Linked DNA regions of Arabidopsis thaliana. The protein of the gene in region 1 interacts with the protein of each later gene in a pairwise test. Each region holds a gene or a part of one and is shown in the gene's direction. Other genes may lie near its edges.

Region 1 (16,048 bases):
TTTCGTTTGCCCTTGAACATATAACTCACCCGTAATGTAATTTTACCGAACTTTTCGTCTTCCCTGGAACATATAATTCAGCCGTGACATGTAAATTGACTGAATCTTTCGTTCTCCCTTAAGCATATAACTCTGTTGTAATGTAATTTTATCGAATCTTTCGTCTTTTCTGGAACATATAACTCAGTCGTGACATGTAAATTGACTGAACCTTTCGTCTTCCCTTAAGCATATAACTCAGCCGTGACATGTAAATTTGTCGCGAAACAATAAGAGATGCAGCATTTCATCTAACTTTTTCATCGAGCACCAACTTCACAAGTTTGTCGTGTGTTGTTTCCGCATCTATCTGCACAAGTCTACACCCTCTTTCATCGGTGTTAAATATATATTTGTGTTTTTATACCCAATTCCTAAAAACAACAATTACCGGAACCGGATCAACTATATCGGGAGAAGGATGTAAGAAATTGAAGAAAAATGAGGAAAACGATGAGGAATTAGAAGTTCCAGTGATGTGAAAAACTCAGGTGAAGAAGACGAGTTGAAAAAATTTGGTTTTATTTTTTTGCCCTTTGATGATGCTGACATGGAATGATGACATGGAATATTACAGCCGATGTCGTTTTGAATTGATGGGGTGACAACTAAGCCACCAAACGAACATTTGATAACTCAGCCATCAAACAAATCTATAAGTCAGTCGCAACATGAATACTATTACAGTAATTAAAAACAGGAAAAAAACAAAGTTAAGTCAGCCGTGTTATGTCATAACTCAACTAACTCAGCCGTAACGTTTAAAAACTCAGCCGTAACTGCATGCTATTATAGTAATTAATCTTTTGCACATAAGTCAGTCGTCACAAGGCTGAGTTATTTAGTAATCATGCTCTTTACGGCTGATTTATAACACTCGATCATAACTCAGCCGTCACATCATCCTATAACTAAGCCGTCCAAAAATATAACTCAGCCGTGTCGAGGAAATAAGTCAGCCGTTTTCTCATAACTCAGCCATAACATTGTCTGGGTTATGCTATAAGTTTGTTATAACTCGGACAACATTCCTTAACTCAGTCATACCGTTGTCTGAGTTATCGTATAACTCAGACAACATTTTATATATCAGCCGTAACGTCTGGCTGAGTTATACTCATACTTCGTCGTTTTGGTATGACTCATATATTTTTGTCGTAAGTCAGCCGCAACATACCGTAACTCAGCCGTGACTGCCGCTATATCGCGTTACGGCTGAGTTCATTTAATCCACGTCAGCAATTTCTGACGTAGCAGTGACATTCCTTGTAATTACATTTTTTCCGGTAACGTTTAGTAAGAGCACGATGGGTAATAAGAAAAGGACGAAAATATAACAGGATTAAAAAAAAGTTCTGTCTGATAATAACACCTAATTTATACTCTATTACAGTAATTCTCCCAAAAAAGAAAACAAAAGTATGTAACAATAAAATAAGAAAAACCCAACAATGGAGGCTTTGCCACTAAGTTAATTTTGAATTAGGTAAAAGATCTATCGAATCAAAAACCAAAGACACTCTCTTTGTCCGACACCTTTCTTAGTCGTATTTCATTGTTTTATTAATCAAGCTTTACAGTAAATATATATTCACCTTTTCCAAAAGCTTGATTTGATTTCTTTGTCTATTATTATTCACAACAATCATCTTATGTTTTCATGTTTCTTATAAAGATGATTCAACAATCTACTATATTTTATTTGTAAGCGTTAGAAATTAAAAATTATTTTGAATAGATTACACTTTCTTAGTTATACTATTCTTTTAGAATTTCACGAATCGCGATTAAAAGTATAGATACATAACAAAACAAAAAAAAAAAATTAAACCTTCAAAAGTATAATAATTAAAAAAAGAAAAACCATTTCAAGTGTAGTACTCAGATTTTGATTGGTTAATTTGCTATTTCCCAAATTATGTATTTTATCACAACTAGCAAACCCATCTCTTACCAAATCACATTTGACATAATCATTACAACTTTACAATTAGCACAACACTAACAATTTGGTCTTGATCTCCAATCAAAGTGAGATCTCCAAACTTTTTAACACAAGTTAACTAGGCTTAACTTAACCGTTTTATTGGCTAATTGGCTGACAGGAACCTAATTGGTTACTTTTTGTTCGTTAATAATTGCCATGTCTTTTAATTAATATTGCTACAAAACCTACCATCACTATTTTCACATTCCACTGCTATTTAGCTGAGTGAAACCTAATCGTCTTTCACTTACCTACTACAAGCACTTCTGAAATAATACTAATACGTTACCTAACAATTTCTTTTGGTGTTAATATATATTCCAAAACAACACTTTCACCAAACTTTTTTCAAAAATGAAATGTTAACTTAATTAATCACCAAAAAGAGAGTTATATACAAAACAAGTGGAAAAGATTCCTAAACATTAGATTAGAAACATCTAGCTCAAATCCATCGAAACTAGCACTAACCTCTAGATCATTCATTACAAACTTTGATTTGTTTCAATAGCAATTTCTGCTCTTATATGAAAAAAGAAAAACACTTTTTAAGAAAAGTAAATCATACTTTATAAACATAAAATAGTTTTAGTTGTTCAAAAGATAATACTTTTGTAAAAGTATAAATGAAAACGCCAAAAGCAAAAATATATTTCGGTTTGTGTTTAAATTATTACTAATATTCTTTATTTCATTTCGTTAAAACTTAAGATTGTGAATAATTTGGGAAAGTATTCAACATTCAATCCAATCTCCTTCATATGAATGAGAAAAATTTACAGTTTCACATGCAAGCATGTTAAAAAATACAAAAAAAATTATATGCAAAGATTAACTTTTTTGACTGCTCCTAATCTAAGAACCAAACATGATAGTGTCAGAACAATAGCTAAGACCTTCCCACATAACAAACCGGTTAGCACAATCACGATCAGAACAATCCCATTCAGGTTTGATCCAACCACTGGAGGATTCAACGTTTCTTCTTCGTCTCTCTCAGACTCAATTTTCTTTGGTTTATCTTCTAAAACCAAACTCGAGACTTCAATCAAAGACTCTTCTTTGATCTTCATCGTCTTCTTATCCTTCTTATTGTAACTCCTCAACTTCTTCACAATCTTCGATTTTAGTCTCCAACTTTTACTTGTTGATTTCTCGTCCTTTGACAACAGATCACGTATCGTTAAACCTTTCAACTTCGAAACCTCTGTTTCAGATACTACATGCTCTGTTTCCTCAGGACATGGAATCGCTTTGGGAACTCGAGTTTCATCAAAAGTTTCGATTTTCTCGCGGGCAATCGCGTTTTTGTCTTTGTCGGTGTTATTAGAGCGCGTGAAAACACGCGCCGCCACGAGCTCTGTTAAGAGAAGAGCGAAGGCAGAGAGAGTGATTCCTAAAGTGAGCTTCTTCTTCGTGCTCAAGGCGAGCAACGCTACTATCAAAACCTTAAACGCCATCAAAACGACCTCACCGCTACCGCCGAAAACGCTATTTTTAATCGCGTTCTTCTTCAACGCCGCTGATTTACCTTTAACGCAATTAACTTTCTCGACCTTACTTCGAACGGTTTTAATCCTCGAGGGCTTTTCAAAAATCGTATCTTGATTACTCAACGAAGAAGCGTTTGGAGCGGTTCGAATCTGGCGTTCGATTCGTTGGAAGCGTTTAGATGGAGATTTTTTTAGACGATCGCGATTCTTGAAGAAGAGATCGATCAGAGAAGTTGGAAAGCCAGTTTCAACGAACGGTGATTGTTGAAACTCAGAAATGAATCTTAAGATTCGACTCGATTTTGGTTTTTTCCATGGTAGAGAAGACATGGCGATTATACGGAAGTGATAATAAACCTAAAAAAGGAGAGACCTTTGAGTTGTCTTGAGAGAATTAGGGTTAGGGTTTTTGTTGGAAGAGAGATTGATGAAGTTTCTGAGTGACAAAGGTCGAAGCATTTTAAATATATAGGAGTGAAGAAGAAGGAGCGCAGAAAGTGAAGGTGAGAGATCACTTTGTTTTTGTTTAGTGTTGTTTTTTAAAACACGAGCTAAATGATGAGTAATTGTCGAGAAAACGGAAAGAGAGAAATATAAATTAATTATTTTAAAGTTTTAAAGTTAAAACCGATTAAAAATTTGATTATAAAAGGAAATTTAGCTTTTTTGTTACTTTATATGTTTGAAAATTTTGGAAAAATCTTTTAGAAGTTTAAAGGAGTACGTTAAAGATCTATTAATTTATTTTTAAATGATTTAATTTAGAATATTAAGAGTATATAGAAATCTAAATTAGTGACTTTGATCTCATTTAAATGGAATCTATTATAAGCAATTTTTATGGGTTGGCATGAACCTGTAAGCCATTTATTTTACAAAGTTTAGATTATTCGATAAAGGTCGATATCAAAACTAGCTAGTTATAATTTGCAAATTGTAAGTAGGATAAGTTTTTCTTAAACACAATTTTCCAGCACCAAAATGTTTTAAAACCAAGCATTGGATTTATCACGTTTAAACAATTGTCAATTTTGTTTAATAATTAGTTACAAACTGCAATTATTTACTATATTTTTTTTGGATTCGGCATCTAACAGCACGCATCATCATCAACATATCCACCTCTCATACCAGCAATTAATATGGCTAGTTCTAAAGAGGTTCTATGTGTGTGGTATCTCAAATCTTAACTTATTAGAACAACCATTGCTCACAGTAAAAGAGTAAATTAGGTGAAACAATTATCCAACAAGATTAATGATGAGTCAACAATTGGTCAAGTGCTAAACCAACGACCAAACTGTACTAATATATAAGAAATAGAATTAACCAATTATTATTTCTTATTTTGCTTCTGCAAATCACCGAGAACCAATTGGAACAAAGAGTCATTCACGTTTATTTCCCTTAACTCCATGTAATGCACTTTGCTTCCATGCTTGTAGGAACTAGTAGTGGTTCCAATTTCCTTATTATAAATAGAAAACAAAACAAAAAGAGATGCAGAAAAATTTACCTCTATCAATTAATTAATGACAGTTATATATAACACATGCATGAGGTACATCACCAGTGATCACTCCATGTTGGGATCTTTATATATAGTATGATCTTCACCATACTCAATCATTGTATCAAATATTCAAGTCTATTGTTTCACCTCCTTCGCTGATTGAATTCTTGTATCACTCTTATATAGTGTAAAGAAAAAGTCTCAAGCGCACATCATTAATAAGAGCTTAAGAAATCATTAGAAATAATTAAATATGATCCAACCTAGAGCCAAACTAGTTTTATTACAAAAATCTCAAGTCCTAATTACATCACTTACCAAAGCTTCACGTCCTCTATATGGTTTAGAAAGATATTAACTATTTTTTAAGGAAAAACTTCCATTCCTTGGATTTGAAGTCTTATGATTGTCTTTCTCTCCATATTGTAGTAGAAGAGGTAGAAAGGCACAGCATAGCACGTCGCCAACACAATTTCATTTCTCTGAGTCACTCCAACAAGGCGTAAGTAAGCATCCCCTATCACATTATGCCCCAAAGCTGGCAATACACATGTATATGCTTTGACCATTCTTGCTTATCGACATCTTCTAGAACCCAAAATTCAATACTCTCACTTGATCTATAAATAAATATAGACGACGTATTGGACATAACTGTAGCTAATTTACCATTGTAGTTTATTAGGGTTCCATAACCTTTCTAATGAAGGTTTCCAAACCTTCTTCAACGAATCTGAAGTTCTCATACTTAACATCAAAGCAAACGACCATGAAATCCTTTAACAACCCAGTGACTGTACCTACGTAATACAAAACACCGTTAATGCATATCCCTTTATACAAAGGATAATGTAAATGGGGTCTGCAGCATTTGATGTTTCTCCATGACGGTTCTCCAATTCCTAATGTGAGAACTTGATACTCTTCAAAACCATCAAACCATGTCAATACCTTGTATTGTTTCTCAACAGGATCATACCCTAAATAGCTTATCATCCAATCACTACTCGTTTCCACTTTGGGTAAGCTTACGAATGTCCTGTGCTAGGGTTACATATCACCTGCACCACTTCCTTCTTTTCCTTCCTTCTATTCTTTAGAAGGATCAAACTATTGACATGATTACAAATTTTATAGTTATACATATCAAGAGGACGAAAACTCATATGATAACTGGCGACAAGAGGAGGCAACTTCTCATTCGGATTCTGAGGTTGAGGTGACGAGAAAAAGAGCAACTTCTTGTCTTTTACGTAGGCAAACAATAGCTGCGGGCGAGCCAAATCTGGAGGACGAAGTATGGATGCCCAATGCTTCGATACACATCGACATGTAGCTATAGACTTAAATGGCAACTTCGAGAATATCTCGATAATGAGATCAATTGGAATATGTAATGAGTTTTCTTTTTTATTCTCTAAGCTCTTTGGTCGCGTGTCGCGTAAGGTAACGGTTAGATGATTCTCAAAGACGTTTTTTTGCAGTGAATTTCCATAGTGGATACACTAAAAGTTTAAACCCTAGAGACTCGTTCGTTGTAGAGTAAAACTAGAGAAACTAGGGCTTCAGAAGAAAAAAGAACACTAAAAAGTTGGAGGCGGAAGAGGAAGATGTAGGTCTTAACTCTTAATTAATTTAGATCATTCTTGCTGAAAATGATGGGCCTTTTTAAATTATTGAGAGGTCCCAACTTATGTTTGTTCCGGCCTTAGTAGGGACCGCCCCTGAGAACAAATCAGTGAAGGAGAGTGTGATAAAACATTTTGAAAATTTTAATGTGTGTATTAGATCATTTAGAGACGCTTCATAATATTTGTTTTGCTATACTAAAAGTAATGGGCCTTTTTCAACTATCGAGAGGGCCCAACTATATGATCTCTGTAGTCAAAACTTGTTTAATTATGCATAATCGTTGTATCCAAAACCGGTTTAGCAGATCCTGAGTCGAATACTATTCAAATTAACTAGAATGAATCTCTCCCTTCAATAAATTTTCAATTTTCAAAAATAATGTAATTTGTCATTATGTTATAATTTCTATAAACGGCAAAAAAAACTAATTTTCTTTGTACTATTACCGAATATGATTATTCTATTCTTGTTATTAAAAATAAACTTAAATAGTAAAAATATCTTCAAGACAAGTGGGACAGTACAGATATATTTTGAAATCCTCCGCTGTCATACAGCGCAGAGTACAAAAACAAATTATCTAAAACTATCATGTTACAATGTACAAGATAAAACAAACTATAAGGACCAATTTGAAAATAACTATTTTAGAAAACTTATTGAAGAAGACGTAAACTATATATAGCTGATTATTACCTATTCAACAAATCCCTCTTTTTAAACCTATTCAAAGCCAAGGACAAGAAAAAAAAAAAAGAGTCGCCCATTTTCTTCTCATTTTTTTTTTGCTCTTGACGAAGAAACCAAAAAAAAAAAAAATGAGAGAGATCCTTCATATCCAAGGCGGTCAATGTGGAAACCAGATCGGAGCAAAGTTCTGGGAAGTGATCTGCGACGAACACGGCATTGATCACACCGGTCAATACGTCGGCGATTCTCCGTTACAGCTTGAACGTATCGATGTCTATTTCAACGAAGCTAGCGGTGGAAAGTACGTTCCTCGCGCTGTTCTTATGGATCTGGAGCCTGGTACCATGGATTCTCTCAGATCTGGTCCGTTCGGTCAGATTTTCCGTCCTGATAACTTCGTCTTTGGTCAATCTGGTGCCGGAAATAACTGGGCGAAAGGTCATTACACCGAAGGTGCTGAGTTGATTGATTCTGTTCTCGATGTTGTGAGGAAGGAAGCTGAGAACAGCGATTGTCTTCAAGGTTAGGAACAATTTTTTTGAATCTGGATCTGAGTTTTTGAATCGTGGAACGAGAATGATTACAATCGATTTAGGTCTTTGTTGATTATGTACATTTTGTGATGTGTATGGTTTTTGTTGTTTGGATTTAGGTTTCCAAGTGTGTCATTCATTGGGAGGAGGAACTGGATCTGGAATGGGAACTCTATTGATTTCTAAGATAAGAGAAGAGTATCCAGATCGTATGATGATGACTTTCTCAGTGTTTCCTTCTCCTAAGGTCTCTGACACTGTTGTTGAGCCATACAATGCAACTCTCTCTGTGCATCAGCTTGTCGAAAACGCTGACGAGTGTATGGTTTTGGACAATGAGGCTCTCTACGATATCTGTTTCCGTACCCTCAAGCTCGCTAATCCTACCTGTGAGTACATTTCTCCATTTGCAGCTTGTGTATTCATGTAGTGTGATTGAGTCCTGACTTGTTTTTGTGTATTTTGTGTTTTCATTAGTTGGTGATCTTAACCATCTCATCTCTGCTACAATGAGTGGTGTCACTTGCTGTCTTCGTTTCCCTGGCCAGCTTAACTCTGACCTTAGGAAACTCGCTGTGAACCTTATCCCATTCCCAAGGCTTCACTTCTTCATGGTTGGTTTCGCACCATTGACATCGAGAGGATCACAGCAATACAGTGCCTTGAGTGTTCCTGAACTGACCCAGCAGATGTGGGATGCAAAGAACATGATGTGTGCTGCTGACCCTCGTCATGGACGTTACTTGACTGCATCCGCTGTGTTCCGTGGAAAGCTGAGCACCAAAGAGGTTGACGAGCAGATGATGAACATTCAGAACAAGAACTCATCCTACTTTGTGGAATGGATCCCAAACAACGTCAAGTCCAGTGTCTGTGATATTGCACCAAAGGGTTTGAAAATGGCGTCTACTTTCATTGGTAACTCAACCTCAATCCAGGAGATGTTTAGGCGTGTGAGCGAACAGTTCACAGCTATGTTCAGGAGAAAGGCTTTCCTTCATTGGTACACAGGAGAAGGCATGGACGAGATGGAGTTCACTGAAGCAGAGAGTAACATGAATGATCTTGTCGCAGAGTACCAGCAGTACCAAGATGCTACAGCCGGAGAGGAAGAGTACGAGGAGGAAGAAGAGGAGTACGAGACTTAAGATGTTGTCAATGGCTCCCTCGGATTCGTAAGCTGTGTAAGCAAGCAGCATTCACTTTCTTCTTTCCCCTTATCCTGAATTTTTTTCTTCGTAATATCTCTTTTATTGTTTCGTTCATGTGTGTTCGTTTTTGTTATTGAAACCCTATATCGGTTCTGGATTTGTTAAACTTTTGCGTGTATTGCTTATTGTTTTTGTCGGTGAAAAAAATATTGCTTTTGTTCTCTTAAGTTTTGTGTTGCATTTCGCTCGGAGCTTTCATTTCAGGAGATAAAGCCATACACGAAAAATAAATTTCAGTTTCAAGCAACTCTATAACACTGGTCCAAAAATTCATTTCTGCATTTGTTCAATCTATACATCAATTAGTGTAGCAATGTCTAGCCTAAACACTTCTTTGACCAATGTGACGAACCTTTCTTTGATCAATGTGAAGAACCTTTCTTTGACCAATGTCTGTGATCTTAGCGTAAGCTGAAGAAGATTCTGAAGCAATTCTTTCACTTTCTTTTTCGTTATCTTCCTTATCTTTGATCAATTCTGGACACAGCTTCCTTGCTTTGCTTGTCATGCAATCTGCATCACTACTGATGAATTGATGCAGTTCGTCATTAGTAGTCGAGGCTGCTGTTCCTACACTCTTCAAGTTCTTCTGATAATCATTACCGAATCTTAGACTACGAACAGGACCAACTGTCCAGAACCTGAGCTTTCGAGAAGCACCAATTGTCGCATCCCATTTACTCTGATCTACTTCCTCATCTACCCATTTACATTCCCGGGGTTGTGTAGTCAGACCTGGTGAGTTTTGTTCAACCGATTCAGAGGAAGCATGCGAGTTTGTCTTGTGAATATTACCCAGTTCAGTGCTAGTTCCAGCTAGAGCCTTCTTTCCTTTCATCCCACCTGAACATCTCGAAGAGAAGTTATCTGAAAAGCTACTTGTCAGCAAATCTTCTGGTTTATCCGCTACTGTTGCTTGTTCTCTTTCTGCTAACATCTCAGTAGCCCGTTCAAAAGACTTGCAAAACGGTTCATTCTTCCATTGATTCCCTAGAGACTGTTTTACATCCTCAAGCAGAGATTTAGCTTCATGGGTTCTTTCCATACGTATCAAACAGATTGCAAGATTGCACAACTTGTTATTGTCAGGTTCCAAAGACAAAGCATTCCTATCACAGTAAAACCCATTTCACTTGTTAAGGCAATGATAAAACTAACATTCTTAATGGGATTGATGGTGTTTCACAAACCTGTAATACTGCTCTGCAATTCCATAGTTATGAAGCTGTAAGTGAACCCAAGCTAAGTTCCCTAGAATCCTACATATCCAAACACCAAGAAAGTCAGAGAAACTACTCTTTCAGGTATAAAGCGGAGATGGGAGATTGTCTTGCCGTGCTTTCTCTTGCTCGATTGTCTTGTTATTCTGCTCCTCATGGCTTCTTTTCGCTATTTTGATCCTGCCACCATAATGTTTGTCTTGTTCAAGTGTTCTCAGTTTGTGTTCAAGCAGCTCAGCGACCTCTGTAATCCTCCCAGACTTCTGCAAAACCAAAATCCATCAAAATCACATACTGAGCATAGAAATAGCTTCACAATTAGTCATACTGAGAAAGTTTTACCATGTAGAGTTCAAGTAACAAGTTATCAATAGAATCTTGAGATTCAAAAGGGCAGAGATATCGAAAAGACTTGATAGCTTCGATTCCTTCATCGAATCGGTTCAACTGTTTTAAAACAACTACCATGTCCTTCAATGCACTATCAACTCTATCTCCAGCATTAATCGCCGCCCAAAACAACGAGATAGCTCGATTCGGGTCTTTAGAAACCAACTGTTATTGAAAACAATTCCATGTCAAGAACAAACGTTCATACACATAAACCAATACAATTCACTAAAAACCCTATATTGATATTACCTGAGCATGTTTGGCTCTGACGTAAGGAGAATCACCAGTACGAACCCTAAACGATTCTTGATTCTCGATCAAAGGTGATCTTTTCCTCTCCGAAATCGGCATCGCAATGTAAACTCTTCTCGTCGTGTGCCATGACGGTGGTGGAGTCAAGAAACCTCCTCCCTTAGCACCACGGCTCTCACGACGCCGCATAGTGAGAATCTTCTTTTCTCGGGAAAATCTTCTTTACTTCCCCGAGAAAATGTTTCCGATGATCAAATTTTTGGGGTTCTATGGAACGTGTTTGTTAAAGATTAAGAAGCAAAGCGATTCCAAGCCGGAAAAGAGAAGAGACTAATGGAGAAATTTTCCCGAGAAAATTGGAGATTCTTTTTGAATTTTCTCTGAAGAAGAGAAGAGAGTAAAAAAGTCTTTATATAGTTGGACCTTAAGTAACCAATGAAAAACTTAGGGGAAAGAAGTGAGACATGGATATAAAAACAAGGATCTAAATAAAATAAGTTTTGCGACGAGTACAAATTCGTAAACTTTTGAATTGAAGTGCAACGTTCAGTTATTGGTTAACAGATCATGAACCGGTTCTAAGCCGGTTTCTTAATTCCTTAATAAATGTACGGTTGAATATAACCCAAAATTTCGATTGAGAGAATATAGCCCAAACCAAAAGCATTGGTTAGCTTAAACCGACGTCCTTTTGACTGAGTGAGATAATAATGGGCTTAAAAGGGCTAGAGTTTCTTATGACAAGAGAAAAGCCCATTGAGGCCCATTAAGGGCTAGGGTTTTCATTGTTGACAAAATAAAATACAAATTTTTCACTTGCGCACATCTTCTTCGCAAATCTCAACAATGGTGTTTGAAGCATTCGAAGTCGGCACAGTCCCATTCAATTCCGATGGTTGGGGACCACCAGATGCTTCCGACACTTCCTCCACCAGCGTCGCGGCGGCGAATCTCCTCCCAAACGTCCCCTTCGCTTCCTTCTCACGATCCGAAAAACTCGGACGCGTTGCTGATTGGACTCGAGCTCTCTCAAATCCATCAGCTCGTCCTCACACCGGATCCAAATCAGATCCATCAGCGATCTTCGATTTCTCAGCTTTTGCAGTAGATGAAGGATTTGGTCTAACAAACTCAGGTGGAAACGCCGACGAAGACGCCGCTTTCCGATTAGTCGACGGAAAACCACCGCCGCGTCCTAAATTCGGACCTAAATGGAGATTCAATCAATACCATAACCGAAATCAGCTTCCTCAACGTCGTGATGAAGAAGTTGAAGCTAAGAAACGTGAAGCTGAGAAAGATCGAGCTCGTCGTGATCGTCTCTACAATAACAATCGTAACAATATTCATCAGCAACGCCGTGAAGCCGCCGCGTTTAAATCATCAGTTGATATTCAACCGGAATGGAATATGCTTGAGCAGATTCCGTTTTCGACTTTCTCTAAGCTTTCGTTTACAGTTTCTGAACCTGAAGATCTTCTTCTTTGTGGTGGACTTGAGTCTTATGATCGGAGTTTTGATCGTATTACTCCTAAAGCTGATCGTAGACTTGAGCGTTTCAAGAACAGAAGCTTTAAGGTTACTACAAGTGATGATCTTGTGATCAGACGTCTTGCTAAAGAAGATAAAGCTACTGTTTTTGCTACTGATGCTATTCTAGCTGCTCTTATGTGTGCTCCTAGATCGGTTTATTCATGGGATCTTGTGATTCAACGTGTTGGGAATAAGCTTTTCTTTGATAAGAGAGATGGGTCACCGCTTGATTTGTTATCTGTTCATGAGACTTCTCAAGAGCCTTTGCCTGAGGGTAAAGATGATATTAACTCTGCTCATTCTCTAGGTCTGGAGGCTGCTTATATTAATCAGAATTTTGCTCAGCAGGTTTTGGTTAAGAATGGGAAAAGGGAAACTTTTGATGAGCCAATTCCTAATGTTAATGAAGGTGAAGAGAATGCTTCTATTGCTTATAGGTATAGGAGATGGAAGCTTGATGATAGTATGTATCTAGTTGCTAGGTGTGAGTTACAGAGCACTGTTGATTTGAATAACCAGAGATCGTTTTTAACTTTGAATGCTCTTAACGAGTTTGATCCTAAGTACTCTGGTGTTGATTGGAGACAGAAGCTTGAGACTCAGAGAGGTGCGGTTTTAGCTAATGAGTTGAAGAACAATGGTAATAAGTTAGCTAAATGGACTGCGCAGGCTCTCTTGGCTAATGCGGATATGATGAAGATTGGGTTTGTTTCGAGGGTTCATCCTCGTGATCATTTTAACCATGTTATATTATCGGTTTTGGGGTATAAGCCGAAAGATTTCGCTGGGCAGATCAATCTGAACACTAACAATATGTGGGGAATTGTGAAGTCGATTGTTGATCTGTGTATGAAGTTAAGTGAAGGAAAGTATGTTCTAGTGAAGGATCCATCGAAGCCTCAAGTTAGGATTTACGAAGTTCCGGCTGATGCATTTGACAATGATTATGTGGAGGAGCCACTCCCTGAAGATGAACAGGTTCAGCCACCTGAGGAGAACACTGATGCAGGAGCAGAGACTAATGGGGTTTCCTCTACTAATGTAGCTGTAGAGGATAAGAAATCCGAAGTTGAAGCCTGATTTTGATGATATGGGTATATTTCAAGTCGTGTTGTTTTGAGTTACTTTTAAAAAATGTTCGAAAGCTTGTTCACTTTTTCATAGACTATTTATGTTCCAAAATGTTGGTTCATGCTTTCTTGGTTGTTTTTGAATTAACTCTTTGAACTTAAAAGGTCATCACTGTGGTAGGTGCTTGGTCATTGATATTCCGGCATTAGAGAACAGTAGCATCTTTGATTATTCGTGAGACTCTTTTCTGATCGAGAATATGCTTTTTCTCAAGTGTTTATATATCAGTTTTCTCAAGCCAAAATTAATTATTGAAAGCCTAAAATTGTTAGCAGTTTGTTGGGCACAAGTAAAGCTTTCTTTAATGTTAAGTAATTGTGAGATTTGTTTAACCCACTGATCCTTCAAGCTTAATGCTCAAAAGCTGGTTAACTTCGGCTCCAAATTCATTAGGCAACTTGTTGAAAACATCTCTGCAAAATCCAGAGATCATTGCCGCTAATGCTCTCTCATGATCGATACCTCTCTGTTGAAAATAGAAAATCTGATCTTCTCCAATCTTTGAAGTACTTGCTTCATGCTCTATTCTCGCCGATGGATTCTTTACCTGTTATAAGATCTTCATTAGAGGTGCTTTTATCATAACCTTATAATAAAAGGTTAGATGATCATATACAAAGTACCTGTATGTAAGGATATGTATTAGCGGCTGCATTGTCACCAATAAGCATCGAGTCACAAGTCGAAGTATTTCTAGCGTTCTCAGCTCTGGATTGGTCCATGTATCAGCTTGCTGGTAGTTATTAGTCAATGATACGGATTAAAACTCTCCAACGGAATCATCTCCTTCTAAAACCACGCTTGGATACTTCCAAGTTATCGCGAACCCTTTCTCAACTTGAGTCCATGAGATCTTGGAACGATCACCAGCGCAGAGACCACGCTTTGTGACGAAATTGTAAATCCCACCTTTACCTTGTTCATCCCCTGCATATCAATTCTGCACCGTCGAGTACTTAATCTCCGCTCCTTCAGCGCAATAGAGCTCAACAACAGCAGCGTGAAGCTGATTCTTGTCATGAGAAATAGCAGTGCATCCTTCTGAATACTCAACAAAACTACCTTCCTCAGCAACAATCAAAGTTCTTTCAAACTGACCAGTGTTTTCAATAGAATTCATCCGAAAATAACTCGAAAGAGGCATCGGACATCTAGTGTTTTTCGGTATATAACAGAACGATCCATCGCTGAAAACCGCGGTATTCAAAGCCGCGTAGTAGTTATCATCACTAGGCACAACTCTTCCTAAATACTTCTTGATCAAATCCGGATACTTCCTTATAGCTTCGGATATCGAACAGAAGATCACACCTGACTTCTCTAGAGGCTCCTTATTAGTAATAGCTATCGATTCACTATTATAAACCGCATCAACCGCAACTTTAGGTGAACATTTCTTCTTCTTTGTTAAAGGAACATCTAATCTATCAAATTCCTCAAGAAGCTTAGGATCATCAGCTTCATCAGCTATATCTGAACTATTCAAAGTTGGTTTCTTTTTAGGAGCAGAGTAAAAACACATATCTTGGAGATCAAGCAAAGGGTACCTATTATCTGACCATTTAGGTTCTTCTAATTTTAGAAACTTAGCATAAGCTTTGAGCCTATACTCAAGAATCCAAGCTGGTTCCTTTTTCAACTTCGATATCAAGCGAATCGTTTCTTCAGATAAACCTTTAGGGATTGTGAAGGAATCGATGTTTTCAAGGAATCCGTATTTCTTATCGTAATCTTGATTCTGGAAATACTGTTGAAGTTTATCAGATGGTTCGGTTCCATCATTGGCTCTGACTTTGAAAAACCTAGTAGGATTTAGGGTTTTGAGAAATAGAAATTTCAAGGAATAGGGTTTTGGATGAAACACTTTTAGTAATTTGGAATAATCGGAAGTGGGTTGTGGAGAAAATTTGGAGAAACCGATTGCGAAAAGAGACGCCATTGTTGTGCTTCCAAGGCGAAGTAGAAGAAGTTTTTTTCTTTCTTTTTCTTATCAAGTAAAAACATTGAATATGTTTTTCCTTTTACGTGTGGAAAAAATGATAGTCGCGTGTCTACCAAGTAAGGGATCTTTTTACTTGGATTTTAACTTTTACTCAATTATATAAGGGAACTACTGAATAAAAAAGAGTTATACACACCAAAAAAAAAAAGACGAAGTAAATTTGCCATTTCCTTAGTGGCTTTATGGAAAAAGAAATTTTCACATAAGTGGATGAAAAAAGAATTGCTCTCATGGTTTGTCAAAATGAGATATGGTTTTCATCGTTTGTCTTTTCAGTTGTTTTCAGATCAAAATACCCTTTATGGGAGCAAGCAAACCACACAGCACTTGATTTCGGTTTAGATTTTGTGGTTCAGTTTTGAAAAAAAAAAAAAAAAAAACTGAAACAAAGAAATCGAAGAAGAAGAAAAAGAGAAAGA
Region 2 (15,919 bases), on another chromosome or scaffold:
TCTTCGTTTCAAGTCTCGAACTTTGTTGGAATCGGCTAAGTGATAATTTCGAAGCTTGATCGGTAAATCCAGGAGCTTTTGGATCGGAATCTGTTCGCTGATGCTTTGGTGAAAATGGGTTTCGGTGCAATTAGATCGATTTTGCGTCCATTGTCGAGAACCTTAGTTTCGCGTGCCGTCGTTAACTACTCGTCTGCGCCGTTCAATGCGACGATTCCGGCTGCTAAACCCGAGTTATGTTCCTTCTTCGGTGGATCGATGACTCATTTGAGGTTACCATGGATTCCAATGGCTAACCATTTTCATAGCTTAAGCTTGACTGATACTCGGCTCCCGAAGAGACGACCCATGACTCATCCCAAGAGGAAAAGATCCAAATTGAAACCTCCAGGTTCGCTATTTTGTGTTTGATGGTTGATTTTGAGCTTCATTTTTAGTCTGGGGTTGTAAAAATTGATGCTTTGTTTGTGAAATTAGAGATGAATGTTGTGTGATTCAGAATGGAGTTAGTGTAATCTTCTTAGGCGGGTGTTGTTTATGCTGTTTTCAAATTAGCATTTGGTGGGTATAGTATTGATCTTGTGTAATCTTAAGTGGAAAGTGATTGTTTTGAATCTCAATTTTGGGTGTTGTTACTGAGAAGTTGATATAGCCAGAGATAATCTACGGTGGGATTGTTTAGATGAATTAAAAGATTTGAGGATAATGCAGGGCCTTATGCATACGTTCAATATACACCTGGCCAGCCAATTTCTTCAAACAATCCTAATGAGGGAAGTGTGAAGAGAAGAAATGCGAAGAAGCGCATAGGGCAGCGTCGTGCTTTTATACTGGTTTGTCTGATTTCTTTCTAGCTTGTTTTAAGAACTTTGATAGCTTTTTGATCTTTGCATAGCTCTACATTGTTAGATGAGAAATGTTGGAATGTTGAATCAATAGATTGTACAAATGAGAAATAAGTTTGAAAGCTGAGAAATCATAAGTAACCTATGGGATGATAAAAGGCTGTATCTCTCTTAGCTTCTCCGTTCTGTTTCCATTTACAAAACAATCTGCAATGTTCTTTTTTAGTTTACTAATAAGATGGAGTTCTCGTGTATATATTTTTTTCGCAGTCTGAGAAGAAGAAGAGGCAAGCGCTGGTGCAAGAGGCGAAGAGGAAGAAGAGAATTAAGCAAGTGGAACGTAAGATGGCTGCTGTCGCTAGGGACCGAGCATGGGCTGAAAGACTGATTGAGCTTCAACAGCTGGAAGAAGAGAAGAAGAAATCAATGTCTTCTTGAGATCAAACATAGAAATAATCCTAAATGACAATCTCTTTTCTTGTCTTGAGTTAGAGAATTACTCTTCTTTGTTGTGTTTGGCATGTTCTCTTGAGAGTTAACTCGCTATGTTGTCTGAAGAACTGAGAGTTACTTGACGTTTGTGTTCTTTATATCCAGTCATGTGTTTCTTGTTTCATGAATTTGGCTGACATTCTTTTACTTACGGCAACCCATGAAACTGAATCAGGACCAGTTACCGCCACGTGTAATCTAACTAGAGGCCTGATTTCATATTCCGCCACGTCATGTGTGCATCCATTTCTCAACTCTTGTGATAAAGTCTTCACCTTGGTCGCTGATTTTCCTCCTCTCTCTCACAACTATCACCAACAAGAATCATGACGAGCTCTGTTAGAGAGAAGAAGATCAAGACCAACGGGATTTGGTTAAACGTTGCTGAGAAAGGAGACGAAGAAGGGCCTTTGGTTCTGTTACTCCATGGTTTCCCTGAGACATGGTACTCTTGGCGTCACCAGATCGATTTCTTGTCTAGCCATGGTTACCACGTGGTCGCTCCAGATCTCAGAGGCTACGGTGACTCCGATTCTCTACCGAGCCACGAGTCTTACACTGTGAGTCACCTAGTCGCTGATGTCATCGGTTTACTCGATCACTACGGCACTACTCAGGTGAAAAATGATCTTCTTGAGAATCCAGCGTTTAGATTTAGATAGATAGATTTGTGGAGAAGAAAGTTTACATTTTTACTGTGGTAGGCTTTTGTGGCTGGGCATGACTGGGGAGCAATCATAGGTTGGTGTCTATGCTTGTTTAGACCAGACCGAGTCAAAGGTTTCATAAGTCTCTCTGTTCCATATTTCCCAAGAGATCCAAAACTCAAACCTTCAGATTTTTTCAAAATTTTTGGAGATGGTTTATACATCACTCAGTTTCAGGTAAAACCCAAATTTACTTTCAAGATTTATGATGTTAGTGTTACTATTATGGTACTCATTGTTGTCGTTGATTCGATTTCTCGGTTCTGTTTTTTACAAGAAACCCGGAAGAGCTGAGGCTGCATTTGCCAAGCATGATTGTTTATCGGTAATGAAGAAGTTCTTGCTAATAACAAGAACAGACTACTTAGTGGCTCCTCCTGACACAGAGATCATAGATCATCTTGAGATACCGTCGACGATTCCAGATTGGATAACAGAAGAAGAGATTCAAGTGTATGCGGAAAAGTTTCAAAGATCTGGATTCACTGGCCCTTTGAATTACTACAGATCCATGGATATGTAAGTTGTTCACTTCCCTCTCTCACTTTATCTCCAGTCTTTGTTGTTACAAAAACAAGTATTGAAAATGTGCAATGTGACAGGAATTGGGAGATATTGGCGCCGTGGCAAGACTCCAAAATCGTCGTTCCTACTAAGTTTATAGCGGGAGACAAAGATATCGGATATGAAGGACCTAATGGAACAATGGAGTATGTGAAAGGAGAGGTGTTCAAGATTGTTGTGCCTAATCTTGAGATAGTTGTTATTGAAGGTGGTCATCATTTTATCCAGCAGGAGAAGTCTGAACAAGTCTCTCAAGAGATTCTCTCTTTCTTAAACAAGTTAAGCAAAACAGAGTAAAATCATACCGTTCTCTGTGGCCTTATAGAAGAACCATGATGCTCTAGTCTTAATTAAACTACTAATAATGTGTATTCAAGAACGAAACCCGAGTGTGATCTCGGCAATAATAATGGTTCTTAAAGTAAAGAAAGGTCTAAAGCTTTTTTATGTGCTTCTTTGAACAAAAGCCAAGAGTGTAAAGTTTACTCCAGAACACAACTTGTAAAAGTGCGACAAATTTGTTCATGTGTCTCACTTCCACTTTGAAATTTTCTAACAACAAAACAAAACTCCTTTACAACATCACTCCTTATGTTTCTAGGGCCTCTTAAAAACATTCCGATACTTCTAGTTTAGATGTTTAAGTTACATCCATAATTTCGAGAAAGATATTTCACCTAATGGAGTTGTCACGTCAAAATTTGTATTGTTGAGTATAGGCACATCACATTCCAAATTCATTAGCAATTTCAGTTGCCATAAAAATCGTTATGTTTTTGACGTTTTGGTATACCATACAATCACCAAACTCATAAATTAATTAGAACAAATAAAAATAAATTAAACACAATGGCAACAGAAATCAAATTTAACAAAAAAAAAAAAAGATTAACGTTAAGTCGTTAACCAAACGCTTAGGACTTTTAACTATCCAATAATGGAAACTCTCTCAAACATCATGGTTAACCCTCCGGCATATCCTCCGGATCTCACCATCCGTCCCCGTCAACGGTGAGATGTTCCCCATCTTCACCATCGACTTCGCAAACTGCTCAAAGAACGCTCCCTCATTCTCCGCGTAATACTTGACCATCTCCATAGTCTCTATGCTTTGCGTGAACAATATCTCATCAGAACTCAAGAGTCCTCTAAAGTTCACAAGATTCTTGTAGTAGTAATTGTCAAACTTAGTCGGCGTCACATAGTCAAGATTAAAGAGGTTCTGGTCGTTGCCCGAAATCGGACATCCCTGCTGCAACATAGAGGCGTAGTCTTGATTCAAAGTCTGGTCGGGATCGTTGTTTCCAGTATGGTTGTATAACCTTTGTCGGAAACCAATACACCTTGAGTTTCCTATCGTGTGACTCCCTACATTTGAATCATGGTTATTAGTTCAATTTAGAAATGATAATTAAATTTATCAATGTGTTAGTTTTTAGGGCATTTAATCTTTAATAGAGAGATAAGATAACTTTTCTTATCCAATCACAAACATCGTTATTAACATTTATTTATACTTTTAATTAGTTTCTTCCATAAAATCACAATTGCTTTAAGACCCCTTTAAATTCAACCACATTAATATCTTGGACGAGTGTAGTATATATACCTAAGAGGGCAACAAGATCGGTGAGATCAAGTCCTTGAAAGTTGAACATAGTGAGAATTGTTTGTAACGTGGACTCGGGAGAAGGAATGTTTTCCATGGAACCAATCAAGCTTGCTTCTCTTGCATCTCTTCTTCCAAGATATACTTCCCAACTAGGTCCACCACACTGTAGATAATTACAAAAGTAACGAGTGTTTGTATCAATTATATATCAATCCTAATGATTGTGTTAGAGAATTGACTTACAATAACAATAGAGTCTCTAGCAACGAGAGCCAATAGATCGGCGCAAGAAACTGTTTCAGGACATTCATTTTCCAAGGCAGACTTGATCTCGTCAATGACTTCGAACCCTCGAGCAGAGTCTCGATTTGCATTTGATCGTTTCTCGCTTTCCATGGTTCCACTACTGTCCAATAGTACGGAAGCATCACATCCCTGCACCAACCAGAGTATATATATATCAAACAACATTTCTCCTTATTTAAATCAAAACATTATATATCTGAAGAATAGACTAGATTTTGTCAAACATTGACGAAACAGTCGTGGAAATGGAGCCTAAGAATTGAGGCAGCCATGCGAGGGTCATTGAAGTATGCATTGGCGACGTAAGATTGAACGATGGCTTGTGCGTTTGGGCACGAGTTCTCGTAAAACTGAGGGGATAGAGAGGCTACAGAGCTCGTGCTTTGATGTGTTTGATAACAAATACATAGAGGAAACAGCGCAACAAGTGAGATTTGAGAGAGAACAATGCCCGCCATTGACTTCACCGTTTTTGTATTCATTTGGACTCTCAGCGATTATTGTGGGAATGACGATGAATGCATGGTTGGATAATTTATAGAGGAAGGCGTCACCAAGTATGATTTGTCACGTCAACGTGGCTTTTAATTTGTTGGATGGGGGGATACATTAATTGTGAGTGTTGGTTTGGATATAAGATTCGTTACATCTATATATAGTTACCGATTTTCACTCCTTCTTTTGTCTTCCTTTGTGTTGGGAATAGAAAACGTCAAAATCCCTTTGTTATTTTAAATGGGAAGATGTCGATTAGAATCGTGAACCCACCCGTGTGCTAACATTACCTTAATTTGTATCACTCAAAACAATAGAGCCTGAGCCATAAATGTTACGAAAAAGAGAGGGTTTATAATTTATTCCATGCAACGACCATAAGCGTAACGACCCACACCAAACAAGTTAATTAAAATGAAACTAATGATGACCACCCGGAAGCTTCTCTTTGATCTTCTCCATCATGCCTTTCTTCTCGTGGTGAACGGTGCCGGTATCATAGGCCGTCGTTGTAGAACCTAAAGAAGAAGTCTTGTTGGAGTCGTGATGACCCGGCAGCTTCTCTTTAATCTTCTCCGTTATTCCCTTCTTCTTCCTCCTCCTTCCACCTAGTCCATCATCCTCCTTCATGCATGAAAATCGTCAGAAAAATTAAAAAGCTATATGTATTTGCAACACTTTCCATATTTTATTTAGTAATTTTAAATATATGGTATACCTTGAATATAATTCAAATTACAAACAAAAACTTATCATTTGAACACAAAAAATGGTTTATAAAAAATATGTAGAGTTAAATCTAAAATATGGTTTCCTGATTTTTTCTAGTTAGGTGAAGTCAAATTAAATGAAACTTCTTGTATTTGGTGATATAGAAAGAGTACACTAAATATTGCAAAAGCAATTGCGTAAAACAGAAGCATACCGAGCTAGAGCTAGAGCTACTCCCAGAACGGTGAAGCATGCCACTTAAACCACCACCTTCAGCCACGGCTGGAGCTCCACCGGCAGTTCCATAGGCTCCGGTGGTGGCTGGAAATGGATTTCCAAATTGGTCAAGCTGTTGGTGAGTCTGCTGCGCTCCGGACTGGTTTTGGTAAGACTCCATATTCCTTTTACAATTGAACCTTTTTTTAGCTATAGACAAAATTAAGACACTGATGGATAAAGATGTATACGCTCTTGAATGGTATTTTTATAGAACCGCAACTTTGGATAGGGATCATAATCACATATAGTATTATGATTATTATCAAATTGCGTTGAAGTGACACACGTGGCGATTACGTAAGACGTTGGTTTTGTGGTTAGTGTGACACATGTCCGTTATAATCGACACACCTCTTTTAACTCGATATCCGTAAAAACAACTTATTTGGGCCGTATGGGCCTGAATTGAAAACCTGAGTAATATACATTGCCAAACAACTGCGGTCGTTTCCCTGATAACTTGTATGCAAAAGAACATATAAACTTGTAAAGAATTGAATTACCAAATAATTACATGTGAATTATACGTGGTTGTATGTGTCACAACTCACAAGTATTTTAATAACATGGAATAGTTGAAGCGATAGAAAGATAAATAAACGAAACCAGAAGTAGATATTTTATATTAATTCAAAGATCCATCACTTACATATATTATTTAGCGACTCAATGAAAGAAAGCCACATCATCATATTATTACACCACACAAATACTTAAAATAAGCTTAAACAAGTTGTTAATCAATCTAGTGATGACCACCGGGAAGCTTCTCTTTAATCTTATCCATCGTACTTTTATTTTCATGGTGAACAACGCCAGTATTACCATAACTTGTGGTGGTTCCAGTTTTGTGAGTTCCATGATGACCTGGCAGTTGCTCTTTAATCTTTTCTGCTATACCTTTTTTCTCATGGTGAACGACATTAGTGTTAGTACCATAAGCCGTGTTAGTCCCAGTTTGATGTGACCCATGATGACCTGGTAGTTTCTCCATAACTTTTTCGGTCACACTTTTTTTCTCGTGGTGAACACCACCAGTGTTAGTAGTACCATAAGTTGTGTTGGTTCCAGTTTGGTGTGATCCATGATGACCTGGCAGCTGCTCCATAACTTTTTCCGTCATTCCTTTCTTCTCGTGGTGAACACCACCGGTACCAGTAGCACCATGATGACCTGGCAGCTGCTCCATAACTTTCTCCGTCATCCCTTTCTTCTCGTGGTGAACAACACCAGTGTTAGTAGGTCCATGATGACCTGGTAGCTTCTCCATGATTTTCTCCGTTATTCCCTTCTTTTGCACTCCGGTTTGATTCTGGTGAGAATTCATTTTTCTTCTTTGAATCGAAAATATACTTCTTTAACTCTTTTCTTTCTTAGGTATATATAGATGAAATATTCAAGACTTTGATCGATGAAGATTAATGATCTCTTGAATGATACTTTTATAGAGATGCAAATTTCATTTTGGATAGGAATTCATCATCACATAGATATTTTACTCAATACGTGTTGGCCGACATCGTAAAAGTAATATATTCAATTCGTAATTGATTAAGAGTCACACACACATGGCAAGTAAGACGTCGGTGTAGTAGTGGTTAGCGACCGACGTAATTTTAACTTATATGGGCCTGTGGGCCTTTAGATATGAAAGGCCCAATAATGCATATCTTTTACTAAACTAAAAAACGATGTCGTTTGGTATGTTTCTTCCACCTTTGTTGTTCATCTTTTGATTTTTTGAAATTGTTAGTAAAGAAAGGAAAAAAGCTTTGATTTCGATTTCTCAAGCTGTGTTTTTTTATTTTTCTTCTTCGCATCAGGAAGGAATTGAAAAAGGTATGATTTTGAAGCTTTAGCTCTCATTTATCTCTGAATCCTAATGCTTTTTTCATGCTGTTGTTTCAGATTTTTGGTGTTAAAAGATGGATCCAGATGCAGTCAAATCGACTCTCTCGAATCTAGCATTTGGAAATGTAATGGCGGCTGCTGCAAGAAATTATCAAAAGGTAAAGAATGTTTCTCAATTTGTTTTTGAAATAGTGATAGACTTTATGAGTTTTTTTGATGTTTCTTTGTCTGAGTAGATTACCTGTGAGGACTTACTTGTATGGTTTTGATGAGTTCTTTATATGGGTTTTGTAGGAAGTTCTTGCAAATGAGAAGGCGCAAGGATCAAATCCTGTTAATGAAGAGGTTGATCTTGATGAACTTATGGATGTAAGTGCAATGTTGCTTGTTGTGACTGTTAAGCGTAGGTCTCTATGGTAGACTTATTTGTCTATGTTCTGTAGGATCCAGAGCTAGAAAGATTGCACGCAGATAGGATTGCAGCACTAAAGGTTATAACTTTGGCATTGTATTGTGGCCTATATAGTTATGCAGCTTTTGGTATGAACTAAAATCTTCAAGATTTTATCTTGACAGAGAGAGGTTGAGAAGAGAGAATCGTTTAAAAGACAAGGGCATGGTGAATATCGAGAGGTGAGTGAAGGAGATTTCTTGGGTGAAGTCACCAGGAGTGAGAAAGTGATATGTCATTTCTACCATAAGGAATTTTACCGGTGCAAGTAAGATCTCTCATCAGCTTATTTTTTGTTCGTCTTCTGATATGTATATGAGCTCATAACCAAACATATTTACTGCATTACTGTAGGATTATGGACAAGCATCTGAAAACTCTTGCACCTAGACATGTGGACACAAAGTTCATTAAAGTGGACGCAGAGGTTAGTGAACCATTTGATGAAAGTTTTATAAGAGGAAATGGCTTTTCAACAATCCTTTGCTGAAGCTAATGCTTGGCTGAAATAAATGCAGAATGCTCCTTTCTTTGTCACGAAGCTTGCAATAAAGACTTTGCCTTGCGTTGTGCTTTTCAGGTTTCGCCTCTTTCTATTCCTTCTTACATACAGGGTTTGTTGTTAGGTGTATACTCATAAAGTACGAGTTTCTTTACCATTCTTAGCAAGGGAGTTGCGATGGATAGGCTAGTTGGGTTCCAGGATCTGGGAACCAAGGACGATTTCACAACGAATAAACTAGAGAACGTTCTTCTTAAAAAGGGTATGAAGAACCTCGGTCCCACCTTTTTTTTATTATAACGGCCCAGTTAGAGAATTTTTGCTTAAAGAGTGCAAATCTTTAACAGGAATGCTCAGCAAGAAGAAGAAAGAGGAAGATGATGAAGACGCCGAATATCAAGAGAGCATACGGAGGTCTGTTAGGTCTTCAGAGAATCTGGACTCTGATTCTGACTGATCAAGCAGTTGACATCAAAGATCTGCCATTGCTGCTAGTCTCTGTTTTCCCTTTTTGCTCGTTTGTTATATGATTATTAGAAAAGAAAATTGCGATATGAAATCCAAACGGTCAAAGCAACATTACATTGTATCAAGGTATATGTAATACACCAACTTATTGTCACTGTTTAATAAACATTGATCTAGTTGCTTAAAACGTTTCATCAGGTTCTGTGCAATGGTGTTTTCATCCACACTCCGCCTCTAAAGCCAACATCTTCAATCGCGAAAGACTCTAGCTCTGGACACCAGTTTGCGGTCACGGTCCTCAGGTACGGCATTGACTGTTGCAGCACTTCCCAGTCCATGTCTAGGTCCGACAATGAACTTAACATTAAACCTTCAATTCTCCAGTGAGTATTCTCGTTTCCCCAGAATGGTTCCTGCATTTTCACCAAATTACCTGAACATATTGACATGTACCTCAACATCGGAAGCTTGTGAGGACTCAACCACGATGGACTCGACTTTCCAGGATAGAATTGTAGAGAAAGCTCATGGAGCTGGTGTGGAGGAGTAAGGGCGTCTATTTTGGTTATGAGATCATCGCCGTAGCTATCATAGCAGTTGATCGAAATGGACATCAGCTTGCTTAGGTTTATCAAAGAATCAAGCTCCTCCTCTTCTATCTGATCGCCACGAGTCAGAGAAAGACCAAGTTTCCGAAGGTTTGTGAGATTTTTCACTTCACTGAGCTTGCACCCATTGTTGGACCTGGCTGGCTTAAATCCCAACAGAACTTCGAGCTTCACGAGACTTCCGATACCCTTGGGGAAGCATTCAAGGGATCCACAGTTCGTCATGTCAAGTACAAGGAGTTTCTTGAACAAGACGATGCAAGGTTGAAGTTGTTTCAGATTCTGACAGTAGCTTGCGTCTAGAATCTGAAGGTTGTGGAGATCTTCCATGGAACGAGGAAACTGGATCAACGGATGTGTGTTGCTCAAACTAAGACATGCTAAGTGTTGAAGGCTTGCAATCTCATCCAAAATCTCAGACAGAGGAGCATCAAATATGGATTTCGAGATATCGAGAACCCGAAGATATTTGCAGTCTGTGAATTTCTTAGCTAAGTCTGAGTTGAGCTTGTTCACTTCACCTGTCTTAGTTGTTGACACTACGCCTCTCAGCTTATGGTTAACTTTGATCTGCTTCTCATCAAAGTTTCCACTAATCCCAAGGTGACGACAGTTGAGGCCTTCCGGGTTAGAGAACGAATCCTTCTTGGCTATATCGATCACCAAATCACGAACCATGTCATGAATCTTGCAAGTGATGATGGTTCCGCTATAGGTTTTGTCTACAACTTCTATTAGACACCTGTTTGTGAGCCCGGAAAAGCAGTCTTCTCCAGATTCAGTTGCAGATCTTCCGTTTCTCCACATGACAAAACCTTCTCCGATCCATCCATGTACTAGTTGTTGTTTTGGTATAACACAGTCTTCTGGATAGAGCGAAAGCGTGAGAATGCACGACTTAAGGTGGGAAGGGAGTTCATCGTAGCTCAACTGCAGAGAAGACATAACATTGTCAGTTTCAGAAGTGTTTCCTCTTAGCTCATCCTGAAAATGCTCTGCAATTCGTCTCCATTCATGATAGACATGGTCTTTGCACAGAAGTAACCCACCAACCGCTTTGATTGTCAAAGGCAAACCTTTGCATTTCGTTACAATCTCCTTGCCAACATCCTCTAGCTCGGGACGCTCACAAGTACCGTCATTTGCTGCAAATGCCACATTACAAAACAGCAGCCAACTGTTATCAGGACTAAGGAGCTCTGGACGGTGAGTCTTGTCGTCTCTCGCTTGCACCCTTTTCGCTACAGATTCCGACCTTGTGGTCACGATAACGCTACCTCCTTGTCCTCTAGGCAGTCCTTGGTAGATCTTGTCCCACCAGCTCAAATTCTTGTCCCATACATCGTCCATAACTATCAAGTACCTTTTCCCCAAAAGATACTGCTGGATTTTTCTCAGCAATGTTCCAATATCATCTCCAACACTCGCGTCCCCCAAGTTCCTCAATATGCTTCTCATGATCTGTTCTTCAGTAAAAGTCTGGGACACAGACACCCATATCCTTCTTTCGAAACGATGTTCGATCTCTTTGTCATTGAACACTTCTTGAGCGATTGTAGTTTTACCTAGCCCTCCCATCCCAACAAAGGCCATTATCAAAAGCTGGCTGTCGTTTGATCGAAAGAGCCACTCCTTGATTTTTCTTTTATCTCCTTCCAAACCAACCACCTGAGTATGATCATACACCGGAGAGCTCCACCGATCAGTTCCATTATCTCTTCCAACATTACTCGGCGTTATGAATTCGAAATAAGGCTCTACTTGACTCTTTATTTTCGTTATCCTCTCATTGATCTCTTGCAAACGTTTGCTTTTCTTGTACTGCAACGGAACCCGGGCAGGATGAAGCCGCGAAAGCCACGCATTTGATGACCTTTGCTCGTTCCCATCATCACCATCCGCGAGCTGACAATCCACAAGTATATCCTCAGCTTCGTAAACCAGTTCTCGTAAATCCGCAACAAGAGTACGCAACGTTTCATTAGTTCTCTTCTGCCTCTCTGCATCCTTGAGAAAAGACTGCATATATTTCAATTCGCTTTGCAAATCTTCCAACTGTTTTCGGTAGTCCGATACGGTTCGGCCTTTTTCTTCGAGGATGTTCAAGGTTTTCTCTAAAAACACTGTTACAACAGCGTCCACCATTTACTCAGACCCTGCAACTTCAAGAAATATCTCTAATTGGTAAACTATAACCAAGCAATAATTCAATCGGTTATGTGTATCATCACTAGATTGAACTTTCCAAAAATCAATCAACCAACGACTATAGAATCTCAATAACCAAAAGATTGGATTATTCTTTAACTAATCCATATCTTCTCAAGAAACATGTAGAATCCTAGAACATTGAAACAAATCTAACCAAAGTAAAGTAAACTTACAAGGTTGTGACTTAGCCTTAGCCGAGAAGGATCTGAAGCTTCAGATCTTTGGATTTTTTTAGCAAAACTTGTTTCAGAAAAATGAGCTTACATAGAGACTTTATCGAAATTGAAGTCAATGGTTTAACAAGTCAAGAGTCAACCTTACTCGTTTTCTTGGTTACTGCTGCCGACTACGAAACTTGTCTCAATCTACTTTAGAATCTTATCATTGAGTTTAGACATGTTCTGACCTCATAAAACAATATCCGCATTTCACTTAGGAAAAAAAAAAATGATTTCACTTTCTGTAACATTTTATAACCAATAATTGCATGATAGTGTTTAACAAAGAAACAAATAAAAGAACTAAATTTCTTCTAAGCTTTTGAATTATCTATTTGCTTCTTGGCTTTTAAGAACTCAACAAGTCCTTGGAGTACTTTATCCACAGAGTCACTCCTCATCAGTTGTTCAGCTACTTCTGCTGGTGTAACTTCAATTTCTCGGATAAATTCTTCAATCTGCTCGAAAAGTATATGATCTTGAATCTCGAGATAATTCGAAGCCAAAACCTTAAAAGCAGCTGGTGTGCAATACGACATGTGAATGTGCATGTCCATACGTCCTGGCCTCAACAATGCTGGATCCAATTTTTCTCTGTAGTTAGTCGTAAACACTATAATCCGCTCGTTACCACAACTTGACCATAGTCCGTCTACAAAATTCAATAGACCAGAGAGTGTGACCTGAAAATGACTAACCAAAACATTAGTAATGCTAATAAGCAAAAGATCACATAACAACATAACTGATAGTGAATCAAAATGCATCACCGTTTTATGTAACGGATCGTTGTTTTCTTGATCAGTAGACCGATCTTTTAACTCGATTGAACAATCTATATCTTCCACAACTAGAATGGAACGATTTGCAGTAGACATAAGTAACCTCCGTAGCTCAGCATTGTTGTTAAGTGATGTCAAGTCTAAGTCATAGATATCGAAGTTAAGATGATTAGCTATAGCTGCGATCAAGCTTGATTTTCCAGTACCGGGAGGACCATACAACAAATAACCTCTCTTCCAAGCTTTTCCAACTCTCCCGTAAAAGCCTTTCCGCTGCACGAATCGATCAAGATCCTCCACCAAGTTTTTCTTCACCTCGGGATCCAGAGCGAGAGTGCGAAACGTGGAAGGATGATCTAGAGTCACAGAGGTCCACTCCACGGAGTAAGAATCAACGGTGAAGATCTTCAATGTTTTAAACTTTTGTTTAATAGAAGCAGCTTGTTCCACAACAAACGGTAAATAAGATTCAAGAACCATGTTCTTGAACTTCTTTCGGAAACTAAGCTCGTAACTACGCACTTCTGATTTCAAAGTGGAGTTGAGATCTCTCGGGTTACGAAAATCCTTTTTATCGACATGGCGACATACAAGGATCCAACTAAGCTTGACGCCATCAAAAATATCAACAACTTCCTCATCACGTTCAACAGTAACACTATAATTGCTCTGTTTCTCAAGTTTGTTAACTTTGATTCTTCTAGTGGAATTAGATATCTTGGTGGAGAGATAAGCCTCTGCAGCTTCAAACACTTGGTTGTGTTCAAAACCTCCAAATTCTTCTATTACAGCTGTCATCTGATAAGAGAAGTAGCTGAAGAATCTGCGAAAGCCGTGAGAGATATATTCATGAACCTCGTTTGGCATGTAATCTTGAACCACTGATCGAGCTAGTATTGCGGCTGCAGCAACTGATGCAACCGCTGTGAGAGCTGTTTTGGCGGTGGCTAGATGAGATTCACTAGAGGAACTCATCTCCTTCAATCATCAAAAATAAAATAAATACATTCAAGTCGGTTCTCATAAATCAAAGAGACAAGAAACTAATCCAAAAAAAAATCTGATTATAGAACAATAGTACTGTATTTGTTACTAGGTTACGTGGGGATAAATCTGATTAGGTTAAACAAACGATGCTATTCTTTTGATAATTTTACGATGAGCACACAAATTGGAATCTTAACAAGTAAAAAAAAAAAAATGTTAAGGTTAAGGAGAAAATTTGATACCAGTTCTTCTCTTTTATTTGATGAAAGGCTTCTGCGATCAATAATAAATTTTCACGAATACCTCTGATCATAAGATTGAGATAATTAGGGAATGAAAGATTACTATTTAAATGGTGATGGAACACTAAATGAATGGTCTATAGTGGGCCAAGATTACGGCCCATTTGATAAAGTATCGTTAAAAATGAAAACTTGATAGCCCCTACAGACTTCTAGAGTCTGGTCGCTGGCTCGCTGCAAAAATGCAAAGTCTTTGCTCCTTAACATATATGCTGACTTGTCTTTTATACTTGAAAATTGTAATAGTAGTTTTAATGTTAGAATGACATGTTAGCAAAATATTTACTTTCTTGAAAAGTAATTTTTTCTTTGTTGAAAATAATTTGGATTATATTTCGATTTATGCGTGTCTTATGCGGACTATACTAATCTTTTATGTATCGTTCCAATTTTAATAGATGTTCTTCGAGACAACATTTTGGAAAATATTTCTAAGAAGATTGTTTTATTTTTGATGATTCTTTACAAAATATCTAATAATTGGGTTTTTTCAAGTTCATATATGTTTCTGCATCCTTTGTTTGATTTTTTTCTTTGTTGATTTAACTATGCTTGTGTTTAAATTACTATAGTGCTTACCCAATAGTAATTCAAATATCTCTCATTTGACTTAATGATATTAACTAATATAGAATCTAAAAAATAAAACATTATGAAACAAAATCTAGAAAATATTTTTTTATGAACCGGAGGAACTAATGTAAGATATTAGACTAATACCAAGGTTTAGTTATAATAATTTTCAAAGTATAATTATGCTATATAAAAAAATTATGGTAGAAAAAATCTCGTTCGATAAAACAAAACTAAAGAGAAAAACATGCAAAACGATATTTCTTCTAAGCTAGCGTCTTGAAGGTAGAAGGATGGTTAAGAGTAACAGAGGTCCATGGGTCTGATGAGTACCAGTAATCTGTGTCGAGAGTGAAGAGCTTGGGCGTTTTCTTCTCTTTTATTCACCTTTTTTTGCATTAACCAATAAAAATATGTTATAAATCCTATTTAAATTACATAATAAATTAAAGCTATAATTATAATCCAAACCGATATAAAATCTCGTTTAATTACAAAATCTAAACTCTAATTTTCCTTTATAAATCCAAACCGCTATTTAAACTCATTTAATCGTAAGAAAACTAAACTTTAATCGTATTTTCTAAACCCAAACCGACATTTAACCTCGTTTAATTGTAAAATCTAAATCTGTTTATAAAACTAAACCAATATTTAACCCATTTAATCAGAAAATCTAAACTCTAATCGTACTTTCTAAACCCAAACTGATATTTAACCTCGTTTAATCATAAAATCTAAACCCTAATTTTTTCTAATAAACCCAAACCGATACATAATTTTGTTTTAGTGGCAAATTAGATTTTATAATTAACTTTCTATTATTGTTATTAGGTGTCCGATTTTAATTAGGTAAAATAAAAGAAGTTAATATAAAGTTCATTCAAATATTTTTCTTTATTTATTTGTAAAGCATCTAGGACTGACGAAAAAAAAAAAGCATCTAGGATTAGGA

Evidence for each region.
Region 2: the proteins of TUB4 (region 1) and PLP3a interact in a two-hybrid assay, tested with the Arabidopsis thaliana proteins (one study listed by BioGRID).

Annotation. Positions count from the first base shown.
Region 1 is NC_003076.8:17,852,429-17,868,476, reverse strand, and holds TUB4 (tubulin beta chain 4), read left to right. Parts: upstream 1-7,326; 5' UTR 7,327-7,482; coding exon 7,483-7,876; intron 7,877-8,006; coding exon 8,007-8,276; intron 8,277-8,364; coding exon 8,365-9,035; 3' UTR 9,036-9,341; downstream 9,342-16,048. Other genes in the region: AT5G44350 (ethylene-responsive nuclear protein-like protein), read right to left, coding at 2,845-3,849; AT5G44345 (F-box associated ubiquitination effector family protein), read right to left, coding at 5,398-5,549, 5,752-6,012, 6,094-6,118, 6,257-6,364; AT5G44330 (Tetratricopeptide repeat (TPR)-like superfamily protein), read right to left, coding at 9,421-10,207, 10,289-10,357, 10,433-10,581, 10,661-10,873, 10,961-11,152; AT5G44320 (Eukaryotic translation initiation factor 3 subunit 7 (eIF-3)), read left to right, coding at 11,810-13,576; ABCI9 (Stabilizer of iron transporter SufD superfamily protein), read right to left, coding at 13,956-14,174, 14,251-14,335, 14,395-14,510, 14,574-15,566. UniProt on the Arabidopsis thaliana protein: Tubulin is the major constituent of microtubules, a cylinder consisting of laterally associated linear protofilaments composed of alpha- and beta-tubulin heterodimers.
Region 2 is NC_003074.8:18,932,244-18,948,162, reverse strand, and holds PLP3a (thioredoxin domain PLP3A-like protein), read left to right. Parts: upstream 1-7,734; 5' UTR 7,735-7,850; exon of another isoform or gene 7,851-7,919; 5' UTR 7,920-7,936; coding exon 7,937-8,020; intron 8,021-8,156; coding exon 8,157-8,231; intron 8,232-8,305; coding exon 8,306-8,353; intron 8,354-8,438; coding exon 8,439-8,581; intron 8,582-8,667; coding exon 8,668-8,740; intron 8,741-8,831; coding exon 8,832-8,893; intron 8,894-8,979; coding exon 8,980-9,077; intron 9,078-9,162; coding exon 9,163-9,272; 3' UTR 9,273-9,466; downstream 9,467-15,919. Other genes in the region: AT3G51010 (protein translocase subunit), read left to right, coding at 115-391, 712-833, 1,116-1,283; AT3G51000 (alpha/beta-Hydrolases superfamily protein), read left to right, coding at 1,664-1,954, 2,042-2,221, 2,322-2,563, 2,647-2,905; AT3G50990 (Peroxidase superfamily protein), read right to left, coding at 3,558-3,976, 4,218-4,383, 4,464-4,655, 4,751-5,008; XERO1 (dehydrin xero 1), read right to left, coding at 5,442-5,645, 5,947-6,129; LTI30 (dehydrin family protein), read right to left, coding at 6,757-7,338; ZAR1 (HOPZ-ACTIVATED RESISTANCE 1), read right to left, coding at 9,478-12,036; AT3G50940 (P-loop containing nucleoside triphosphate hydrolases superfamily protein), read right to left, coding at 12,635-13,003, 13,091-14,077. UniProt on the Arabidopsis thaliana protein: Tubulin-binding protein involved in microtubule formation.